Caenorhabditis elegans: one gene and its partner. The protein of the gene in region 1 purifies or fractionates together with the protein of each later gene. This does not show direct contact. Each region holds a gene or a part of one and is shown on either strand. Other genes may lie near its edges.

Region 1 (7,557 bases):
TTTCTCATCTTTTGTCCGCATTGAAGAATGCATTTGTGGTTGATTTCGAGTTGTTGGAAGCACGAATACATCCATACACATTACACCATATCGTAGAAGACGTTCGAATAAATCTCGCTCCTTCGAACAATGATACATATCCTGTGATGGCCGGGCGATTCTCAATTGTCCTGTCACGAATTTACACGTATGCATTATATACTTCACAAGATTTCGAGCTTCAACAATTGCCAATGGAGGAGGTGTCATCGTTGACATGGCGGTTAAAATCGCTTCGGGAGACGTTTTCTTTCCCTCTTTTGTTGGCGGAGGAAGCTTGTTCGGATCTCCACCACTCTCATCTGCATCTTCCGACGTGGATGGTTCTGATGCCAGGAATTCCAGCTCTTCAACTGAATCAATGGAGAGCCGACGGATTCTTCGTTTCGGTACTCCTCGTATAGTGTCCTTTGGGATATTCATTCCAGGTTTCTCGGCGTCTCTCTCATAACTTTTGTATTCGTAGTCTATTTCGGTTCCGTATTGTTGGAAGAGAATAGGCATGTGATAGACTGCAAGAGTTTTGAGCTTGGCCACGTGCGACTCCAGGATTTCAATGAGCAGATCACGAGTCTGAAACTTATTTCGAAGTGAGATACGATTATTGATAGAATAAGTCTTACGGTATCATGTGAATCCATTTTGCACAGAGATTCGGCCAGTGAGTTGAGCAGCCGAGCAGACATAATCTGGACTTGAGAAGAGTTGTTAGGATCGTGAAGAGTGCGACAGAATACGAAAATCACGCTGAAATTTCAACATTTTTCATCAGAAAGTCTTATTCAAACTTACTGTGTGATCATTTCATAGTCTATAGAATTTCGCATGTGATGCAACAGATCTGCTAGCATTTGATACATGAAAACTCGCAAATGCTCAATCGCAGTGAATCCTGTTCCCAGAACAACCTCCTCAGCGATGAGTCGAGGTAGCATTGGAAAGAATTTCGACTTCATTTCTCCAGATGTGAAATACTTCAAAGCCATCAGAACTTCTCGTCGGACACTTATCAGATCAGCCGGGCACCGCTCGAGCATCTGCATTGTTCCCGACACTAGAAGCGGTCCATTTTGCATGATAAGATCCATAAACTGAAAAATAAAAATCAGGATTACAGAAAAAAAACTTGAAAAAACGAAACTTACCGCTGGAATCTTAGCCATAATGTTGACGAATGACAGGAATCGGGACTGTGCACTGACAAAATCATCGGTTATTATTTGATTTGTTTTGAGTTTATCCTCGTCTGGAACTCTGACATTTAGAAAATCAAGACCAAGCCTCATGAAATCAAGCGCTTCGGTTTGGATCGCTGTTTTGAAATGTTGATAGAAGAAAATCACGAGATACGGAACCTCCAGGAGCACCTTCGTTGACTGATGAGCTGATGGAATCATATTGTATTTTAATGGCGGTTTTCCTTCCGTTCCGTTGAGAAGAACCGTTTGTTGATAGTAGCAAGTCTTCAAATATTCAGTGATGACTTGCTCGTCGGAGCTAGTTGACGGTGGAGCTTTATGCTCTTTTATGTTGAACATATCACCAGCTCGACCACTCGCCGTCAGATCAATGACCATTGTTTTGAAGGAGACCATTATCTGTGAAACCTCTCCGCAATATTGCATTTTGCCGGTACTTCTCCCTTGATCGGTGACAATTTTGATAGCCAAATTGGCATTCTCCTCATTTTCCACGGTGATTAGCCTCATCATCTGCTTGATAATTTCTTTGCTATGATGTTTCATGGCTTCTACGTTCGAAAGTCGAAGAATGATTTCAAGCATTAACTTTCGAAGCTGTTGTGTATTGTTTTCAGCAATGAACTGTGGACTTGTGTTGCAGAAAACTTGTAGGAACGAGAGAATGAGCCTCTCCACGACTTTCTCGTGCGAACTTAGTGTGAAATGATTTTCGATTGTGCTCCAAATCTCCTGCAACCGAACAAATTGATTACTTAACACGAATTATTGAAACTAACTTGTAACATTTTCAATTTGACATCATCTCTTTGTGAATTATCGGCAAGATTTTGAATTCTCGTTTCCAGCTCTGTTAGGTGATTACTCCGATCGGACTGCACAGACCGATAGCCTGGAGAAGCCATAGCCGGATCCATTTTGTATTAGTGACCAGCACTGAAGATACTTCTAAACTATTGAGCTTTGTGCAACTATTTGAATAATTTATCTGAAACAAGATTTACGTGTTTAATTCACTAAATTGCGAAGGAAACAGATTATAAAATGAAGAATGGAGTAGAATGAACTATTAGGAAGTGAATGCAACAAGAAAAATCAGTCAGAAAACGCTGAAATTATCGGAAAACTGACATTATTTCAGCAGAAACAAAGAAACAACTAAATTTCAAACGAGAGCGAATTGTCTGCTGACGCGTATGTGTGTGTGTTGGCGCACTCGCGGTTGTTGGCGCATTTCACGTGCATTGCCACGAACGAGAGAGGAGATTTTATTGAATAAAAAAGATGTGACCTGATTAATATTTGACCCTTTCTTGACTTTTTCTTTTATTTTTATGATTATTAACAGTGTAATAACAAATTTCAGACACATGGGATCAGTTATAACCAAGGAAACGGTCTTACAGGAGAATATTTATCTGAAGAAACTCAGCGGTTTGGAACCTGTCGACGATTATGACCCATTTTGGAACAAACTTCTCTCTTTCAGTCTCAAGTTTGATGATGACGACGAGTAAGGATTAAAATTAGGCAAAAGCTTTAAAAATGTTATAATCGTTTAGAGACACCCGAATCGCTTTGGAATCTGCTTTAGATGATCATCTTCAATGTCTAATGTACAATACACAAACAACAGGAAATTTCGCTGCATTTATTCGACTTTTCCTTCGCAGAGCCACAGAACTAAAAACATCAGAACAATGCGAAAAGTGAGTTGGAAAAAAAAATCATCATTATATTTAATTAAAGCTTTTTCTTATTTCAGTAAAATCTACTTATGGCAAACATCAAACGCTCTTCTCATTCTTCGTTACATCGCCAGATTTTTAACTCAACGTATGACGGAAAAAGAATTCGTGAGGATTTTCGCCAAAAGTCATGAGAGTACGGAAACCGAATCGTCGTCTACATCTTCCTCGTCGGATGAGGAAGATGATGACGAACAGAAATCAGAAAACGAAAATAATAATGGAGGTAAATAAGCTTCATTTAAAAAAAAAATTCAATAATAATCAAATTCTGACGTTTTCAGCGACAAAATATATCCCGATAGTTTTTCAAAACACTGCAGAAGAGTTCACGTATGAGCTGGTTTCGATTTTAATCAATATTTCTGTAAAGTGAGTTTTAAATTATTTTTTAAAAAATTGAATTAAAATAATTTCAGCGAAACAACATTGGCAATCCATGTCGAAGCAGTTCGATGTCTCCTAACTCTCCTGAGCTCTCAACTATATAATGAATCAATTGTGAATACTTCAATTGTCTTCAGATTCTTTATTGATGGATCATGTGCGAAACACGCAGCTTCGCTCACTAAAACTCTTCTTCTCAATTATTTGATCCACAATTCAGAGTATCACATGACTGTACAAAAGCCACAAGAGAGCATTGTTTTTGGATTAGCTTGTATGTCACTGAAAATCTTTTTTAATTCTTTATTAAATTAAAAAAAAAACACGATTTTTAAGCATCAATGTGGTCAATGGTCCAAATGGCAACTGGTATCGACTCCGCAGAGGAAGAAAAGAAGCCCCCACTTACTCTTGGAAACTTAAGCATCCTGCTTCTCCTCAATCTTTCATGCCATCAACCTCTCAATTCATCCAATCCATTCAAAGAAACCCTTGCTCTCTTCCAAAATGCTCAAGAAGTATCCACATTGCCTACTCAGATTGTGTCGTTCAAAATCGATTATAATGGATTATACGAAAGATTGTGTGCTACCGCTGGCCAGGAACCTCCGATGCTTCTACTCTACATGCTTCTACAGGCGAACTCGGGATTCCGGAACTATGTGTTGTCTCGGATCAACCTCGAGAATCTAGTTGTTCCTGTTCTTCGAATTCTTCACGACGGTGTCGCGACATCGAACAACTCTCACCATGTTTATCTTGCATTGATTGTCGCCTTGATTCTCAGTGAAGATGATATTTTCTGCAAGATTATACACGAGACGGTGAGTTTTCACTAGAAATGCTAAGATTATATTGAAGTATATATTTGCAGATGATCAAGGATCTCGGCTGGCTGGACAGTGATTTCAGTGTCCGCGAGATCTCTCTCGGAGGTTTGACAACTCTTGTGCTGGTTCGAGCAATTCAGAAGAATGCTTTGAAAACTAGAGTTAGTTGTTGCTACCAAGGGTGTCATTTTTCAATTTTTTTTTCGATTTTTTGACGTTTTTCAGTGGAAATCGAAAAATCGAAAAAAATGTTCAGAAAATTAACCATAAAATATGATTTTTTATCTAATTTTGTTTATATTGATAAGAACAAACATAAAAGTTTCATCTAAAAAGAAGAATAATGGCCAATATATCAAGCTCCTTTTTTAAAAATCGAAAAATCGAACAATTGAAAAAGCGAAAAACCGACAGTTGCTACCTGAAGATACAAAATTTTGTTTTTTTTTAAACCAAACTCAAATTTTTCCAGGACCGATATCTTCACACAAACTGCTTAGCTGCTCTTGCAAACATGTCAGCTTTCTTCAAAAATCTTGCTCCAATTGTTTGCCAAAGACTCATATCACTGCTTGATCTTCTAACAAAACGGCATGCTAAAATGGTGGATCATATGAGAGTCAGCAGTCAGAATGATGTTGCAGATGGACAGCCGATCAATTTCGTAAGTTCATATTTTGTTCAAAAATCCAAATAAAAAGTATAATATTTCAGCATGACGACATTACTGCTCTCGAAGAAGGAATTCGAACTCTCCTTGAGATCATCAACAGTGCACTTTGTGGAGGACTCCGTCACAATTCACACCTCATCTACAACCTTCTCTACCATCGTGCTCTATTCGATGCATACGTTCAGCACCCAATGTTCCAAGATCTTCTTGTTAACATCGCAGCAGTAATCTCTCACTTCTCGTCGAAAGTGATACATGTCCCAGCAGGCGATGGATCCACAATGCTGCAAATAATCGAGAAGGAGGCAAACATATGGCCAACCGATCGACTCGCAAAGTTCCCAGAATTGAAGTTCCGATACGTGGAGGATGAGTACACTGTCGATTTCTTTGTGCCATACGTCTGGAGGCTATCTGTTCAACATTCGGGAATCTACTTCGAAACATCAAGAATCAAAATATTTAACGCCCAAAGTATTGCTTGACCCTCAAATTGTTTTATTAATCGGTAAGCATAATGCCGGTAGTATTTATTCGGACGCAAATATTGATAAGTGGCCTTATTCATGTGATGATCATAAGATACCATAATAATGTACAATAAATCTATTATCTAATTGAGTTCAGAGTCCTTTGTTGTAGTACACCACTTTCGGGGGATTTGCCAACTTGTTGATATGATCTTGAAGTGAAAGCTCCAGCTTATCAACTTGAATTGAGCTTTTCTGTGGGAAAAGAGCACAACAAATTGGTGTGGAAAAAGCCAACATGAATCCACAGAGCAATGTTTGAAGAGGTGCAGCCATTCCAGGTGTATACCATGCAGTTTTGGAAAGTTGCTCCAAGATCACTGGTCCTAGAACCATATTTGGAACCGCCATTCCAACACGACTGAGCACAACTTGTGGAATAGCATGACCAGGTGCAACTGTTGAAAATCCCATTGTTCTACCTTCACCATCTTCAACTGGAATTCCATTTGTAAATTCTCTGAAACAAATAAATTATTAAAATGTCTTTTAATCTGATTCTCACTTGTTTCTCATCATAGGAATATTAATTGCATTGGCGAATGCAATAGCAGCAAATGGAACGAGACGAGCAAGAATCGGCGGAGCATTTTTCCACTTTTTGAGCATATAATTGAATGAAAGAGCACAAGAAAGAGCTCCAGTAGTGGCACCGCAATACGAAAGAATCAAGGTTCTATCATCCTGTTTGTGGGTTCCGCTCCGGTTTGTGTAGTTGACGATGGCGTTGAATGATTGATTGACCCAATGGAAGAAGATCACATGGGGAAGTCTGGAAATATAATTATTTGTTTAATTGCTTGTGAAATAATGCAATTTTTGTAGCCCCGGCACGGAATTCTGGCTTCCCTCATAAATCGAAATGGCAGAGTTTGCCGAACTAGGCCATTTTGGGTCAGAGAGATTTTGTGTAGATTTACGGCGCGTTGCGTGTCGCGTCGCGGCTCGTTTTTAGTTGTAAAACTGCTGTATTTGTCCGTGTGGAGTACACGAAACTTTTCCACGCGCTGTCCGGCGGGCGATTGTCAATGGGGTGCGAAAATTCAATAAGAAAGGCCAGAACCCCGTGCCCCGGGTCTTGAAACGAGCGAAACTTTGTCAGCTACCGTACTCACAAGTATTTCGCAACTTCCACTTGATTTGTTTTAAAGTTTCCAACGTTGTCCAGCAAAAAATATTATTTTTAGTTATCAAAACTACATAGAATATCATAAGCACAAAATTTTGGGATTCGTGCGCCAAAAATACGCAACCCGGTAACGACAAGAAACGTTTTTGTGAAATACAACAGTGTGTGCGCCTTTAAAGAGTACTGTAGCTTCGAATGTCTGTTGTTGCGGAGTTTTAATATACAGTACTCCTTGACAGCTTCCACCCTTTCTCATTAAACAAAAACAATTATCGTGCCGAGTCCAGGTACCGTATTTTTGGTGCAAACATCGGAAAATTCTGCTTCCGGGTAAGAAGAGTTGCGGGTACGGTAGCAGACAATTTGTGTTCGTGTCATTCGTGCCAGGACCCGCCAAAACGCACTTCTGATAAAAAGTGAGCATTCCTCCGGTAATAAGCATATTACACGGCACTTGAGCACTCATTCTGCCCAAAATGAACATCTTCTCTCCGGTGTCGGGATGGAATGCCGAGTCGTAGAGTGTCTTTGCCTTCCACAACTCATCCACAGTCATATTCGGATCATATTTTCCCTGCTTGTACTCCAGAACAATGTTGCGAGCCTTTTCCAACTTTGCATTGCTGACGAAAAGGTTCAAGCAATTTGCAGTTGAGAAGAAGTAATTGACTCTTCCTGAATTTAAAAACAAATGTTTTTTTTTAATTCTGAAAATATTCAAACCTTGAAAAGTGTTCTGATCCCATCGTGGTCTTGAGATGTCTGGAAGCTCCGTGCATTTTGACAAGATTTGCGTCATTTTAGATTCGAAAAGGTGAGGAATAGGAGAAATAGTTGGAAAGTGTGATAGTAACGAGCAAAATGAGTAGATGGGAGAGGGGTCACGTTTAAATGTGAAATGGGATAATTTTACTGAAAGCTTTTTTCCCTGGGGAGGTTTCCCAAATGTCTTTTTTAAAAAAATTTCATCCAGTTGGGGCTTCACGTGGCCACATCATGTCTGTAAAATAAATAAAAACTAA
Region 2 (9,955 bases), on another chromosome or scaffold:
CAAAAAATTTTCGTATCGTTTTCGTTGAGAGTAAGAAATTGGCAAATCTTCAGTTTTTGGCAGTTTTTTACAAAAATTTAGCAATATCGAATGTTCGAATTCACACAGTGTTAGAATCAGGGGTGGGTGGCAAACGATTTTTCTAGCTAATTGGCAAATTGCCGGAATTGAAATTTCCGACAAGTCGGAAAATTGCCGGAATTGCCGAATACTTTCGGAAAGTTGTGGTCTCGCACATTTTTTTTTAGAAATTTCGGAATTTCAATTTTAAGCGGCAAAATTGTACGCATCCTGTGAATGTTCCTTCATCTATTTTGAGAAGTAAGCAAACATCTTCCGGCAAATCGGCAAACCGGCAATTTGCCCATTTGCCCAGTTTGCCGCTTACCCTGTTCTGAATATTTATTTTTAGAAACATAAATAGACCATAAAAATCAAAAAAAAAATTTTGAGAGATGACTTCCAAAACAATGACAAGCAGTAGTTAACACTTTTTGAAACAAATTGAAAAACTTTTTTGAAGTGTTTTGTTATGATACATAATTATTTTAACATCGATTATTTCCCCACTGACCGTACTTTATCTTTAAAAAACTATGAAAAACTTGAAAACTAAACTGAAAAGCACGTTTTTCAAATATATAGCGGCAGTAGACGTTGAGTTCGTGGCTTTTGTTCAGAATTATGAGGGAATATAAAATATTCACGTGAGAGAAAATATCCTCAATACATCTCTCAATGTTAAAGAAATCCACTAGATATGTGTGGTTTTACCATAAGCTTTTGCATGCTATCTTAACATAAAAATCTTTTCAAACGAAATATTTAAAATATTATTGCATTTCGAAAACTCACTTTCCATTTGTGAAATTGGCATGCGAAAAACAATGAGCGTTATCCGTGCACGTGTATTCAAATGCAGTATTGAAAACATCGGCTGGATACCGCTTACCGTAGTTGCAGCCGGGAAAGTAGTAACATTTTATGCTAATAAATGAGAAAAAACAGTGGAATTGATGAACAATAAACATTGATTCAATATTTTATCATTATCAATTTTATGTAGTGTCTTTTCTTCGAGCATGAAGAGGAAAAGTGGGAAAGATAAGAGTCTAGAGATGTTTTGATTCTTTGCGTAAAAGTAGGAATTATAGAGACTAGGTGAAAAATAAAAACAACATTGTTTGTTTTTGATAAGTGGTGAATAAATGTTTAAAGGTTTAATACTACTCCTATGGTGCTAAAATAACCAAATATCATATCATAGAACAACTTTTCAAAAAAATTAGAAATGTTTTATTTATTAACGAAGTGTAGCAATTACCCAGTTTTTGTCCCTTATGATTTTGGAAATCAACAAAAAAAACTTTCTACGATTTTCATATTTTAATTTTAATTTGGTTTTTTTTCTGTTAAAACATTCCATACGACATTCAAAAATGATGGTAACTTGCCAAAACGTTGACTAAAAATGTGAGTGGTTTATTATGATATTCGGCCGCTTTGGAATCATATAAGTGAATTTTGAGAAAATCCCCAGAAAAATTCCCCAATGGAGCTAGGCCCCTTTATATAGAAGATTAGTCAGCTCAAAATAGGCACCGAATATATTAAGTTTTGTTTATATAAACAAAGACGATTTTATTTTTATTATTCAAACTTTTCAAATTTGGAAAATATTCTTCACTTTATTTTGTTGAAAAAATAAACCTTAAAAAAATAAGAAATACAAGTTAAACAGTCAACTATTATTGATCGTTGACTCTAGCAGTGAAAATTTGAAAAAAAAAATCACCGTAAACCCGAATGAGAGAGATTGAAAACAATTACATAAAAATAAATGTACAAAAGTTTCAGATATGACACTACGAACATTAGAACATGAGATGTGTTTTGCTCTTTCCTGACGCAATCTTAATGGATCCACTTTTTTGCACTCCGATTTTCCTTCTCACCACGTACCACTCGACAAGAAGAGCAGTGATGACAAGTGCCAAGCAGACCAGAAATAGGTTTCGTGCCCACCTGAAATGATTGAAAATATATTTTCCATACCTATACCATACCTATACCATACCTATACCATACCTATACCATACCTATACCATACCTATACCATACCTATACCATACCTATACCATACCTATACCATACCTATACCATACCTATACCATACCTATACCATACCTATACCATACCTATAACATACCTTTGCCATACCTATAACATACCTTTGCCATACCTATAACATACCTTTGCCATACCTATACCACACCGATACCACACCGATACCACACCGATACCATACCTACACTATTCCAAGGCTGTTTTCCCAAACCATATCCCCTTCACAACCAAGAATCAGCTCCAATAACTTACATTGGAACGGAATGATCTCTCTGTTCACCGTTCAGCTCGTAATAATCTTTCAGTGCATATCCCACATCATCCACCAGATCCTCGATAACCTTTGCTAGTGGCCAGCCTTAAACAATACACCGTTTCTGGTTAGCATTCAGTTATGCGCGTACCTTGCACCAACGCATTGTTGACTTCACTTTGTATGTTTGGAAGTAACATTCGAAGACGATGTGAGCCTGGAATAATTGAGTTGATCGAAGTCATAAGTTTTGAGTTTTGCTCGAGTTTGAAATGTACCTGTGTGCAATCTCACGTATGGAATTTTTCTGGCGTCATTCACAACTCCATCGATTACAACAAGCTGGAAAACATATTTGGAAGGAGTGAATGGATAGAATGGCATCACTTACCGCTAGCAAATTTGTCTTGGTGCAAGATTCTCCGACACCAAACCATCGCTCATATACTTTCCACGAATAAACCTGAAATATACAATTTTTGATTTCAGCCAAGTACACACGAATATCACAGCTTCTGCATCTTATTATCATTGAAGCTTTTTTTAAAACCAGTCCGCAATAATTTGCCATACCGTATTTTTTCGATTAGAATAACTGCAATGCTATTTCACCAAAATATTTTTCCTCATAAAATTGATCTGTAAATTTGCCGTTGAAGGAGAACTAAATTGTTGCTATATTTTAAAAGTGTTGCTATATTTTAAAAGTGTTGCTATATTTTAAATAACAAGTTTTTCTAAACAAATCAAATATCAATATGAGACTTATCAAAAGCTTCCCAAAAACTTTTCAAAACGGTTAAAAATGTTTTCAAACAATTGTGCTAATGCTAGCTGAAACCCTAAATTTTGCAAAATTTCCCATGTCACAGCTGTCGGAAATTAATGTTTATTTTATTATAATCCTTAAAATTTACCTAAATTAATATATAAAGACCGAATTATACAGTTAATAAAAATAAAATCTTATGAAATTCAATGTGCAATCTTTATCACATCTAGGTGCCACAAAAAAGTTTGCAAAATTTAAGATTGCATCTAAAATTAGCTGATTTTTTTTTTAAATCTTTAACCGTCAGAAAAAATTATAAATTAAAAAAAAAAGTTTTATAACGAAGTTAGTTCATTTGAGCACATTTTGAATCTATACATTAAGTCTATACATGGGGATTTACTGAGATATCTGAATATTTTTATTTTGTGAACTCCATTCTTCAAAAATAGATTTTATTGGAAACCGTTTAGCACTGCATTCAATTTCGTTTTTGTATCTCACGCAGGAAGTATTTTTCTCAGAAAACGTTTTGCTACATTCTGAGAGTCCCTCAACTCAAGATTCATCATTTCTAGCACGTGTTGAAGATGTGCCCACTTTGCGCACTGCAACCACTTCACCCAAAAAAAGAGCGATACTTGCGTGCAATGTGGAAAACGTGATAGAAAATTGGCTCATAATGATTCAGTTCCCCTTCCTGTCCCCACTTTGCAAGCTCAACTTTGGACTAACCCCCTCCCCCCTCCCGCTAAAAACGTATACTTTTTGAAACCTCCGACCACACCGACCTACCCGTAGGAACTTCCGCACATTTCCGACAATTCCAGTCACCATGTCCCCGTCAATCTGGTCGCATTCGTTATCAAAGAGACAAGCGTACTCGGTTTTTTTCATGACATCATTTGCAGAAGCAGGCTGCTCCAGTTGTTTTGCTGGAAAAAATATAATTTCGTTGGACAAGAGAGAGGCAGGTGTATTTCTCAACTGATTATGACGGCAAGTGTTGAAGTATTGCCGTTTGTGAAGAGTGATCGATACCTGAAAATTGGGTGTTAAGATTGAAAAAAAAGAATTGTTTATACTTATTATAAGCTTTTTCAATTCCATAAACATTTGTGTAAGCCAGTTGGTGATGAAGATCGCACACAAACGGAAGTCGAGGAATTGTGTAGCAAACCGATCGGTGCTGAAATTAGGTAGATTTGAATGAGTTGCAGAAACAGAATATATATTTAATTTTTGAAATCAAAATTAAAAATTCGCGAACTGTTGAATCAAATATAGATTTGTCCTTTGTCATCTGAGAAAATAAATTCCAATTTATTTTCCTATAGTCTTGTAGATACCGTATATTTTCAATTCATGCGGCAACCCTTTTTTTATTGCAATTTTTTTTTGTGAAACCTCATTAGTTTCGACATTTTGGAAACTTTTTCTGAACATGTTTTAATGATTCTTTGTTAATTCACAAAATGAATTTAAAAAATTAAATATTAAATTCAGGCCTAAAATATGAGTTTTTGTGACTGAGAGCTAGTGATCTACAACTGAAAAGAGGTTTTTGAAAATCAGTACTGCAGTCTCTAATAGTGCTGCATTCAAAAAGGACCTTAAAATTAGTGACGGTACTCATTTTAATACCGTGAAAATTAACCGCGGCATAGGCCGATAAAAAAGAGCCCCGTTGCGATTTTAATAGGGAAAATACGGAAAATTGAATAATTTTTCCAAAGGTCACTGTTGTAACTTACTACTGCAAATTTATTTGCTTTGTAACGTTCTTAATATGTAGTAGAAATTTACAATTTCACCCCCGTGACCTTCCTCACATATGCATAACATATTCTGTCGGGTTTTGAGTACGTAGTGACTTTTTTCATGAATATATGCTTGACAAGTGTTTCACATGGCTCGCATCAACTAAAATGGATGTGGTGGTCGTTTCTTTCCTTTTCACAATAAAATATGATGGAAGACGTCAAATAAATACATGTGTATGTATATATCATTTTTTTTGAGTCGCGTGCCTTTTTGTCTGCATAACTTTTTTTTTTGGTCTACAGAGATGAGCTGACAATTTGGAGGAGAATCAAAATTACTCCTATGCTAAAAATACATTTCAGGTTTTTTCTATAAATCTCAAGAAGTTTAGGGAGTTTGCAAAATGTTTTTGACAATTTTGACAATTGTTGATTTCAGATCAAACTCTTCTTTTCACAAAGTTTTTCGGCTCCTCAGTCCTTCAAAAAAAAATTGTGAACTTTTTGCGACACAATAAACGAGGGTCCTTGAGCAACCTGGAAGGAAGCATAAGCAGAAGAAAGGCAGGGAGGGGGGACACAATTTCTTTTTTGTTGTCGCCGAGGAATTTCCTTTTCTTCTATTTGTGGTTTTCAATACAAAAGAGAAAAGGAGTTTGAGTTTTTCGGCTTTCACAAATTGCGTTTACGGGGCGGCGAGACGATGTTGTTCACCTTGTGGTTTCCAAAGGAGACCACAAGAATGACTAATGTCGTTCACGCAGTTCACCGGGTAGGTCTTGACTTTAAAATTTGAGTGTCAAATTTTGAATCACAAGTCAAAAGTTCGAAACTATGGGGTTTCCTCCCTCTAGTGCACAATTAAATCTCTGAAAAAAAAACTCGAAATTCGTCATTCTTCCGGATATCGCCAGAGTAAATCTAAGACTACGGACACAAAAAAAACAACGATTGTCTTTCACTTGATTGGTTTCATAAGGATGAGCAAATGCTCAATATGCAAATAGAAAAAAAAAGCACGACGTCTTCGTCTTTTCCACGCGGCTTTCCTTTCTCATCCTTCTTCCTCGACGAGTTTTGGAGGGCCGTTCAACTTTTCGCAAAGTATATAGAAAAAGGAGAAAGGAGGAGAAGTATAGTGGAAAAAAGTAGGATACGGCGCAGAAAAAATATATATATATATATATAAACAATAAAGCAATACTGAGCAGCAAAAAATAATTGGGTTTCTAATTGCAAGGTTTACGAACGCTTGAGTGATTTGTGGGGCACATGGAACGAAGGCTACCCCTCCTAGGGCAAAACAGAGGGAATGTATAATTTATCTTATTTTTGCATTTTCAGAACGAACAATGCTAATTATTTTTCCTTTTTTCTCATTCTTCCTACCTCAGTTTTTCTAGAAAAGAAATTGGAAATTTGAAGCTAAAGCTTTTTTGGTTCTTAAAAGTTGAGGGGAGATTTTAAAGTTCAGCAAATAAAAAAATAAAACATGAAAAAGTTGAACTCACAAAACTAGGTTCGGTGATCGGAGATGGGAAGTTGCATGGTGAAAATATGGGAGGCACAGGAATCTGACCCCCTTGGGCATAGACCGTCAGAAGGCAGATGACGAGTAGCTTGCGCATCATATTGCCATGAGAGTTAGGACATTGTGTGCTCCACACCAATAATATGCTCTGCCAAAAACGACGACGGCGGCGGCGACCGACTGATTCACCAAAACCCGAGGAGTTGCTCTCTGTGTGCTTCGCCCGACGACGGTCGTGTCCGAAGCGCGCGCAGGCAGCGCCGCCAATGCGCTCCGCCCACTTTGGCGCCGACTGAGGAGGCTAGGAGACATTGGGCAATAGGAAAACGGGGGGAAGCTTATAGTAGTGAACACTGGACTTGAAAACATTTCTCCCAAGGGGTACGCCACACACTAAGAGAATTCACGATTAACGTACGTACAAACATTCTATTTCGATACTTGTTCTTGCTCTTGTCCTTGTTCTCAGTGACAAGTCCAGGTTGCTTAATTGAGTTTTTTTCTTAGAGAAGTGCGTCTTTCCTTTCCTTTTTTCATTTTCTTCATACTTCGCACTTTTTATAGCTAGAGACCAAGTTTTTGGAAGTGATGTATTGGGTAGTAATAAAGTTGAGTACTCATGAATATTAATGGAAAGACGAGTTAATGATTGTAAATATTTCTGACGCGAAAACACAAGATCTTTCAGAAAAGGAGTGATCTATCTTCCAAATACAGGGATTCAGTTTTTTTGGTACCTGTCTCAGAAATTTTTTTCAATTTCCACTCACCTGATAATTTAATCAAAATGGGAAATTGATTTGCATTCTCAGGTTAAGAAAACACTAATACTAAAACTAAAAAATTACGTTGAATTTTAAAAATGATAAACATATTTGGTGCAGGTTTACCTTGAAAGTACCTACATTCATTCAGTATCACAAATAAATTCTCGAGGTATTCCATTCAAAATTTGTAGAAGTCAAGATCCCAAAGTAGTGTTTCAAATATTTACTCAAATTTCACCCCATATACTGAGAATGTTGAATTATTCATTACTGTGTACTCTCTCTCTCTCACGCCTAGAATTTCAGAAATGTTTCTGCAGTTTTTTGGACAAAACCGAATCAAATTTTATCTGGTCCATTTATTTTTTTCCATGCTTCAATTTTATTTTAAAAAGTGAAAACTCACTTGGCAACACACTATACGTCATCTCATCTAAAGCTTCATTTGAGACGGGCGTTGCCTAGTCTTCCCGAGGGAGATCTCAAGAAAATGTGCTCTCTGAAAGATTGCAACTCGCGCTGCTGTTGAATTTCATAACTCACGGGGAGGGCACCTGCAAATAAAGTGCATTTGAAAAAGCACGCTTGTGATTAGGAACCAGATGTAGTTGTGCTCTCTTCCAATTCTCAAGTGTAATTCAATCCAGCACGGAGGTAAAGGTACTCCATGTCATTTTAGAGCACTCTTCGCTTTTATTGGCGTGTCTCTGATGCACTTACTACAAACCACAAAGCACCAACGAAATTCAAGAGGGGACGGAAGTCAGGCTCGTACGCGTCTTCAAAAAAAAAATTCCGCAACGTAGTCTGTTCATCTCTTTTACACATACTCATTTTGACTCGTTCTAACTAAATCCAACGAAACACTTTTAGCTCCAGGTTTTTAGAAGCTTTGCAAGACAAAAAAAACCGGGCCGAAAAATAATTTCCTGTAAAGTCATTGTGCAGTCGGAGACTCCTAAAAGAAGGAAAGCAATTTTCCACAAGAAAACGACAAAGAAGCCACATTCACAATGAACCGAACCATTTATTGCTTTTGTAAGTACCAACTAATGTTAACTCGATATTAACTTTACGATAACACAGCAGTAGTGGAAAACAGGAAATTTGGAGGAAATTTCCGAAGAAAATTTTTTGAAGGGAATAAGCAGAGGTAAACGTTTTTCGTTCAATGACTTTATTATTTCAAACGACGGGAACACATTTTCCATCATCTTCGGAGCAAAGAGGGTTATTAAAATGCACGTTTTGTTACAATAAAATAAATAATTCAAAATGAAACTCGGAAAATGTTTCATTCATTGTGATTTTGAGGATAAATTTTGTAAAGTTATAAAACATTGAATTTTTCCGTTTAATTAAAGGCGGAGTGCGGAAGTATCATGGTACAACTTTTCAGAACAAAAATTGGAGAATTTTTATTTTAAGTCAAAAAATGGCGAAAACGGAGTTTGCGCCACTTCTCGAAATATCTAAAGCACTGGCGCATGTTTGAACCCCAACATTGCTAAAATATAAGAGTTTGGAACATAATTCAAACTGGAAGAAAAATACGTTTTTTTTATTAGCGATTTCCACAGATATATAAACATTTCACCGCTATCTAACTTGAAATAAAAAATGTTGCCAAAAATTTGGAAAAGTTTTATTATGCATGTTTGGCTATTTGAATACCATAGGAATGGTTTTTTAAAATATTTTTCCACTGGACGTACTTCACCTATAACTAAAACTTGTCGTTGCTTTGGTATCACACTATATTTGTGAAAAAATGTAAAAAATGTTTCATGTTTCATTGCAAACCATGTATTTTTTCTGTGAATCTTTGTTTGTAAAATTTCAAAAATTTCAGTTTCTTTATCAAATAAGCAATATTCGAAGAATGCTGTAGATCATAGCGTTGTTTCACAAAAAGGAACCTAAAAGCCGTCATAGTTTGCAATGTATTTTTTCTTTCAGATTATGTTCTCAATAAACTTTTTTTTTTGAATTTTAGTTCTCGAAAATAATCAGTACCAGTGTATTACAAAAGTTTCAATTTACATCAGCAAACTTTCGAACAATTTCCTAGAATTCTGTTTTTGGCATAAAAAGTTTGCCGTGCTTACTATTAGTAAGCAATTTATCAAGCTAGGCGACTCTATTTTATTTCTGAATTGATCTCAATTAATTACTCATCTAAAAATATTCCAACTGCACGATTTGAAGATGGATGAGTATGAATTGAAAACTCTTTATAGTCATGTACACCTTGCATGTTGACGGAAGCTATCAGAAACCAGCAAATAATTTATTTTTATAACACATTATTAATTTGTTTTCAATTATTTTTTTTGCACAATTTTTGTTTGGCTTACACGTTGAAAATGCGGAATTTGAGTGATTTGAGAAAGGAGTTCAGTAGATCAATTGAGATCAAAAATACAACAAAAACAATGAGAAATGCTGAGAGAACATGTAATAGTTTGACAAACAGGTTTGAAGAGAAGCAAGTATCCGTACCTAGTGCTAAATTTTATGAGATGTAAAATTAAGCTTCGTCATCTGAAATACATCTCGAAACATGACGATTGCTGCTTGAAATTACAGTATTCCTTGGAGATCCGTTGGTTTCATAAATTGATGTTGCCAAGTAGAAAGCATTACACGCGAACTGCGAGAAGTACATCATTTGTGCGATTGCTGAAAAAATTTTGAAAATCACTCTGTTATGACAGGGCTTATTTTTAATAACGTCTACAC

What was found.
Region 2: the proteins of C47D12.2 (region 1) and AH9.6 fractionate together in Caenorhabditis elegans (co-fractionation; one large-scale study listed by BioGRID). This does not show direct contact.

Annotation. Positions count from the first base shown.
Region 1 is NC_003280.10:11,673,702-11,681,258, forward strand, and holds C47D12.2 (Dymeclin), read left to right. Parts: upstream 1-2,604; 5' UTR 2,605-2,608; coding exon 2,609-2,751; intron 2,752-2,800; coding exon 2,801-2,947; intron 2,948-3,003; coding exon 3,004-3,212; intron 3,213-3,270; coding exon 3,271-3,358; intron 3,359-3,405; coding exon 3,406-3,647; intron 3,648-3,709; coding exon 3,710-4,197; intron 4,198-4,247; coding exon 4,248-4,364; intron 4,365-4,675; coding exon 4,676-4,867; intron 4,868-4,917; coding exon 4,918-5,361; 3' UTR 5,362-5,496; downstream 5,497-7,557. Other genes in the region: trr-1 (Transcription-associated protein 1), read right to left, coding at 1-618, 663-786, 832-1,130, 1,185-1,970, 2,018-2,155; sfxn-1.4 (Sidoreflexin), read right to left, coding at 5,500-5,866, 5,912-6,178, 6,940-7,210, 7,259-7,334.
Region 2 is NC_003284.9:2,261,500-2,271,454, forward strand, and holds AH9.6 (uncharacterized protein), read right to left. Parts: upstream 6,640-9,955; 5' UTR 6,547-6,639; coding exon 6,427-6,546; intron 4,342-6,426; coding exon 4,238-4,341; intron 4,194-4,237; coding exon 4,141-4,193; intron 4,088-4,140; coding exon 3,948-4,087; intron 2,844-3,947; coding exon 2,772-2,843; intron 2,723-2,771; coding exon 2,659-2,722; intron 2,598-2,658; coding exon 2,532-2,597; intron 2,486-2,531; coding exon 2,380-2,485; intron 2,026-2,379; coding exon 1,875-2,025; 3' UTR 1,667-1,874; downstream 1-1,666. Other genes in the region: putative G-protein coupled receptor AH9.4, read right to left, coding at 9,744-9,895.